Linked DNA regions of Bombyx mori. Each later gene encodes a partner of the first gene's protein in a complex. Links are inferred from orthologs where the notes say so. Each region holds a gene or a part of one and is shown on either strand. Other genes may lie near its edges.

What was found. Proteins that work in one complex are often made in the same cells at the same time.
Region 2: the proteins of mRNA cap-binding protein eIF4E (region 1) and eukaryotic translation initiation factor 4E transporter are in contact, whole or in part, in a crystal structure (PDB 4UE9), measured with the Drosophila melanogaster proteins. The link is inferred for Bombyx mori from reciprocal best matches to the Drosophila melanogaster genes eIF4E1 and 4E-T. Residues at the interface, in NP_001261626.1 of Drosophila melanogaster: Lys80, His81, Pro82, Leu83, Met84, Tyr91, Glu93, Asn105, Ile107, Thr108, Val113, Glu114, Trp117, Ser118, Leu119, Tyr120, Asn121, His122, Ile123, Lys124, Tyr135, Leu174, Asp175, Leu178, Ile181, Gly182, Glu183, Ala184, Phe185, Asp186; in NP_726618.3 of Drosophila melanogaster: Arg9, Tyr10, Lys12, Leu15, Leu16, Leu18, Arg19, Glu21, Lys23, Ser24, Arg25, Gln29, Cys30, Ser31, Arg33, Gln37, Leu39, Gly40, Phe41, Trp42, Lys43.

What each region holds. Positions count from the first base shown.
Region 1 is NC_085128.1:2,392,093-2,396,088, reverse strand, and holds the start of mRNA cap-binding protein eIF4E, read right to left. Parts: upstream 2,818-3,996; 5' UTR 2,411-2,817; coding exon 2,381-2,410; intron 2,089-2,380; coding exon 1,910-2,088; intron 1,261-1,909; coding exon 1,083-1,260; intron 597-1,082; coding exon 509-596; intron 1-508. Other genes in the region: spermine synthase, read left to right, coding at 3,775-3,996. UniProt on the Drosophila melanogaster protein: Recognizes and binds the 7-methylguanosine (m7G)-containing mRNA cap during an early step in the initiation of protein synthesis and facilitates ribosome binding by inducing the unwinding of the mRNAs secondary structures.
Region 2 is NC_085122.1:3,354,380-3,357,114, reverse strand, and holds part of eukaryotic translation initiation factor 4E transporter, read left to right. Parts: intron 1-233; coding exon 234-406; 3' UTR 407-2,735. UniProt on the Drosophila melanogaster protein: eIF4E1-binding protein that regulates translation and stability of mRNAs in processing bodies (P-bodies). Probably plays a role in P-bodies to coordinate the storage of translationally inactive mRNAs in the cytoplasm and prevent their degradation.

The sequences.
Region 1 (3,996 bases):
TATCTTTCAGTCTGTATATTTTTTTATTTATTCCTCTGCACTACAGATATTTTAGGGTTTATAAGGATCCATAATGTTTTAATCATTATCAATTACAAGCTAAACAAATTAAACTAATACATATTGTGATGATAAACAGTTTCCTTTGATACTTCAGTATTGTACGTGCTCATAGATAATAAGATAATTATATGCACTACTGCATATATAATTAGAGAACACAGTACAGCAGATAGTTTAATTTATTTATATTTGTGCATAGTATAATACAATTTAAATTCACAAATCACTTTAGATAATTCTATAATGTGAGTTGTGCATTTACTAATTATGTTTGTTTAACAGATGCTCTGTTAGTGTTTGGCTCGTTTTCCAACATGACCTTGGCTAATGTCATTACTTATTATTCATGTTAACAAGAACACAACAAAACCCTCTAGATATTCATAGAACTTAGAATGTTATGTAATTTCACTAAGAAAATGAAGATTTTTATTTTGAAACTTACCAATTTTATCTACTTTTGGTCTGACATTAACAACAGCACCACAAATCTCATCTGAATTCTCGAAATTTTCACCAATTAAAAGAAGAACCTGAAAATTAAATACAATATCTTCAATTTTAATGCATCTCACACACATCTCTGGTTCCTTGTTGTAGGTGCTTACTGGTCACATCCTTCCACACATCCACATTACTTCAAACAAAGATCAACAGAACATAGAGCCAAGCATACAGCTTGTAGGTAATGAGATAGGAGATGATCCTTCATCTCCTTCCTACAATACAGTTTCTATCTGTAACTGTATTCTAATATTCAACAGGATTTGAGTGGGCAGCCTTAACTATTTGAGGCATGATTTGTGGTTTCTTAGAAACCAATGATCTTAAATAAGCTACAACATCTTATTAAATGTTTATAAACATGGGATAGTGCAATCAAGCTAATATTCACTCACAAACATGTGCTCAGAAAAACTTGTCATATTTTTAGAAAATCTTTTCCTTTCATTATGTCAAACTTGATACTCAAAAAAGAAGTATTCTAAAACGGTATATAATAAAAAAGTTTAACATACCACATCTAACCAGAACCTATCTAAATCAGTAAAGCGTTGTTTTTTCTCAAGACTGATAAGCCATCTTCCTCCCATCTTGTTAGCATCGTCTTCCCACATAGGACGAATGCCTTGCTTGAATACTGCATAGTCATGACCTTGGCGAAGTTCTGACGGTAGCTTAATATGATGGTACAATCTGTAATGTGCAATAACAGTTTTGCTTAAATAAAAACCTACTAATTACTAAATTGACTACTCAGAGTAATTTTTGGCATTTTCTTATTATAATGGAATGAATCTATAGAATTAATGAATGAATACATGTTGACAAAAATAGAAACCATGTTTAGCACAGGGGGCTACGACAGACACATTGTATCTGCCATTTGACATCTATCAGTAAGCAATGAGTAGTCACTGGTTCCATAAGTCACTCATTATTTTTGATGTATTTCTTAAAAGTTTTTTGTGCAAAAACCCCTCAATGATTTTTTGAACATACTTGATGTATTGGTGCGCGAAAGGGAAATATGTCATGGACCTATGGCATCCATCACTCCATTCTACATGTTAGATACATTATTATTATAGAAAATATAACAAGTAAATAAAAGAACAGATGATTAAATCGACAACTAATCACATTAATTATAATAGATACGTAATAATTAGCTCTATAAGAAAGTGTTCTAGTTTAATCTTGAGCAAAATTAATTCTGTTTAAGTTCAGGTTCCATCAGAATTTACTTTCTCATCTAGGTTGCAAATGTATAGAAGTTGCATGAATGTACTTCTAAAATGTATGAAATTTATAATTTACTTCTGTAACCGGCATTTTCCTTTACCTCCAAAAGTCTTCAACTGTGTCGAATGTAGTCAACTCAATAAGATTCTCCTCCCATGTTTTGTTTCGGTCATTGTCGTAAAACCAGAGACTCCACTGGTTTTGTAACGGGTGCTTGATCAAAAATTCAGGGGGCACCTCCGCGTTACTGTTGGTCTTCGTTTCAGTGGTAGTAGACCCCTTAAAAACACAGGTCATTTTTATTAGTGAACCTAACCTAAAAAAAATATTGTTATTTTCGTAGAAGTCGTTTAACGACTTAATCCGGAATATTTTTACACAGAAAACCACTCGAGCGAGGTAAAGTTATAATTTATACTTGAAAACTAGACAATTATGCTAACAAATGTAACAGTGAAAGTTAACGAAGCCACATCAGCAAATTGCGGCAAAATTATAGGTTTTACGATTGTATAACCGGCAAAACGAGGTAGAAAATTACTTTGTTTTCTTAATAATTACATCTACCCACCTCTACTTCTTCTGTAGTATTTCCAGCCATATCTTGAGAGGATAACGATGCAAATTTCCTACGAAAAGGAGCGACAGAGTCAACGGGGTTGCCAAATCAGAAATCGCGTAAATTATTTATTATTTTATAAAGTGGATGTGCGCTAATCATGGTCTAGATTTATTTAAGGGTGTCATTTTTTTGTCTACCTATGTTGGTGATCTCATGGGATTATACCAGCTTCACGAAGCGAGTAGGCGAGTTCACGGGGCTAAGCCTGGTGAATTTGCTAACACTAGCCCTATTAAGAACAGTGCTTCGCAGTATCTACCACCAGATCGGAAACACGACCCACTGAGAAGATTCGGCGAGAAACTCAGTGGGCTGATTAACTCAGGGTTAATTTGCTCGCCGAACCCTTCGTCGCATTCGAGAGGAGTGACGAGAATGGTCACCAGTACTGGGGGGTGCCTAAAAGCACCGATAGTGGATCGCGAGGATCCGAAATGACGTGTTTTGGGCAAATGGAAAATATTAAATCACGGCATTTCCATCATCACCTTATAAACACAGGCCTTTTCCGAAGTTGGCTACAGTGACCAGTCGAGCAGATCTCGTGACCTTCACCAGGTCGGTCCTTCGAACCGTTGTGAAAGGCCTACCCACAATGCGCCTTACAGCGTGCGATTGCCATTCGAAAACTTTTGAGCAGAGTAGCCACCTGTCTTACCAGCAATATACCAAAGCATAGCTGTGAAAAGTTGTTTCGCTGCTGACCTCTATTTAGAACTAGCTAATAGAAATCATCGTATGATATCCTTATCTATGCACAACCTCTTTTTTTAAAGGGATTTTATGACCTGGTAACTAAGACCATTAAGTCTTATTTTAATTTATTTTCTTATGTTTATGAAAAATGATAATATGGAGTCAAATGAAATGAAATGAAAATGAAACGAAATGAGATGAAATATAACCTCAGTAAAATGGTGATCATTTACTGAGACTTTTTCAGTGGACTTTTTGGAGGATCCCGAGAAGCTACGTTCAGCGGCTTTGTTTCATTTTCCCACATTTGTGCACTTTCTCAGATACTAAACAGTTAATAAATCACCGTTATTACACATTTACACCTGAAGAAACACTAAATAGACAAAATAAAACAAATCACACAACTTCACTTCTCGAGTTCCCGCCAAAAAGGCATGCACAACCCTATGCGAGCACAGACCGGAAATAAATTCATAATAAAATTGTAATTTGTAATTCACAATTCACCAAAGTGTATAATCTATGCAATTCACATTATTGATCGGTTTCAAAACTCCGTGTGCGTCGTCTGGTTTGCCGGCTTAATCGACGGTTAATAATTAGATTATACAGTAACAAAACAAAATTTAATACATCACTGTAAAATGTCAGTTCACAATATCTTATTGGATTTCTCGATTGAAGCGGCCCGTCTGGAAGATGAAAACGGCCAAAAAGATATCTTTGGACAATTGGAAACTCTATTAAAAGAATATATACCAAATTTGATCCTAGCCACCGACATAAAATTGGAAGATGGTTCATTGAAATTATTAACCGGTAATAAAGGAACGACTGTATCCGTTAGGATGTTTGACCGAGGTTTC
Region 2 (2,735 bases), on another chromosome or scaffold:
CGAGTTTTTTTACTTCTTAGTGTCTTCTCAGTGGGTCGCGTTTCCGATCCGGTGGTAGATTCTGCGAAGCACGGCTCTTGCTAGGGTTCGTGTTAGCAACGTCGTCAGGTTTGAGCCCCGTGAGCTCACCTACTAGTTAAGGTTACGCTGATATAGCCTCTCAGCTTAAGTAGGAAAAAAAAAGCAATATGCGATCGAGTAAATCAGTTTGAACATTGTTCGTGTATGTCCAGAGCTGGGTGGGGGCGGCGCGGCGGGCGGCGACAACCAGCTGGCGCGGTGGTTCTCCCCGGAGTTGCTGGCACGTGCCTCGGCCGGGAAGCTGCCCTCCGTGCACGTGCCCAACGCGCTCTCGCTGGAGGAGCTGGAGCGACACCACGCGCCAACCCCTCCCGCGCGCAACTGAACCCGCCCTGCAATACATCGAAACAACTGAACCACACCACACGGCTCTCCGTCGTAAACATCACTGCTCTGTATGCTCAGTGCGAGTTTTTTAACGTTCTCGATAGCGTAAAAGTTAACTCTAATTTGTATGCATTTGGAACAGCGCCCCTAGCGGCAAACGTAGGCAAACGTTGCAGCTTTGTAGCGTTTTTAACGCTCTCAATAGCGTAAAATTTAAATTTGTATGGAGTTGTAACGTTGGCCGCTAGAGGCGTTGTTTTAACAGCATACAAATTTGAGTTAACTTTTACGCTATCGAGAACGTTAAAAAAAAGTTTACTCTAATCTGTATGGGGTTGAAACGTTTACCTACGTTTGCCGCTAGAGGCGCTGTTTTAGCTGCATACAAATTTGAGTTAACTTTTACGCTATCGAGATCGTTAAAAAACGAACACTAAGCACACTAGTATTAGAATATAACAGCGGACTTAGGTTGCGACTAGATAATTGACGACCTTTTTTGTTGATCTCTAAAACGTTTAATACTGTATCGTAACAAAGCAAGATCGTTCACTTTTGAACACACAAAAATTGCCGAATATTGAAATGTTTATCGTATGTCAAAACAACAATGCGTTTAGTGTTTAATGTCATATAAGAAAATTGTGCTGCTGTATTCTATACGGGTGAGTTCACAGAATCGAATTGTTTCTCAATCCAACAACGTTTACTAATTTTTACACTACGATTATTATTATTATTTTTCGACTATCAAAAGTAAACGGCTACGGAAGAAATACCGCCTTTTTAGTATAACAAACTTTGAGAAGCTACGGAAAGATTGGAAAGACTAAAAATGAACAGAAAGACATGTGATGTGTGTCGTCTCGCATTACGATAAAACTATGGACGATTACGAAGATTGACGACCGTAGCATTACAGTTGATTCGGTTCAATTTGATATTGTAAATGCCATTAATTGAATTGAATACAGCCTTAGGTCTCATTCGCACTAGAGTTTTTTTTAGCGCTCGTTAAAAAATCGTTCAAATAGAACATTCATTTCCTAGTGTATGTTCATATGTCAGCGCTTTTTTATCCCGCAGTATTGCATTTTGAGCGCCAAGCGTTGTGCGTTACGGATTACACGTCACATCGAGAAAGTTATAAAAGCGCCAACGCCGAGTTTTAACGCGACGTTTTTAAAACGCCCGTGCGAATGAGGGCTTATTAATGGTGAAACATAGGAAGCGTAAATAATAATGGCTGTGATTGACCAATGGGCGGCCACTCGGATTAGTCTATTCGTGCTACGTCATTAACGAATTTAAGGGGTCCTTTGTCAGCGTGAACAGTCTAGAAGTGATGACGTCACGGAACGTTCTCCCTCCCACTGTTATCGTCGAGAATAGGGATGTTGAAATTATCGAAATTTTTGCTCAATTTAAAGACTTAACGTTTTGTTGTTGTTCACCTATCGATTTTTCTTGTACGCTTTCAAAAGCTCCCGCCGAACGCTAAAAGCTAAGAATTAACGTCCCTGACAAGAAATGTTTTTAAATTGAGTAATGTATTATTTTTTTTTCGGAATTTGTAAACATCCCCGTGATTGAGAATAATGTTTTTCAAATGACGTAATGTGCATTTTGAGGTACGGGTGTCCGCTCGATAGTGTTCAGTGTGTTTAAAAGCTTGGAATTGTCGATGAAAATTTGAAAACACAATAAAAAAATTCAGACTAGTACAACGAGACTGATCGTACAATTAATTGTTTGTAATCATCGAAATACTATTTAAAAAAAATAATAATACATAAATATAAATTTAAGAAATGTACTTAAACTATAAAACTTGTTAAATGTTAAACATTATTAGATAGATTAAATGTACGTATTGATGTCTCGTCGGTCACGAATTGAGAACTTTTTGGCGGTTTTTTTTTCGAATCAAACTGTTTTTTTTTTTTAATTTAGCCTCTACTAAAAATTTTAATGAGCTATTCGGTTATATTGAATATATTTTTTATTAATCACATTGAATAAATATCAAGTATAAATATGAGAGTATGGCAACCCTAACTGGTTTTCCGGAAGCGGCATCGTTCGGAAACCGGTTACCATGGTTACCGCGTTACACACAAATCGCGTCCAAATTTAACCGTTTCCTTTTCTAGCTTTTAAACGAACTCACACTAGTACCGTCCCAAGCCAAAAAAAAAAATACATTAGCAATAACAGAGTCATTGACGTGACTGTCTTAAAATTGTAATGTCAAACGGAAATTTGTAACGTTCCGAGTCCGATATGAATGTGCTCGCATCACGAATAGTCAAATGAATAAATAGAAA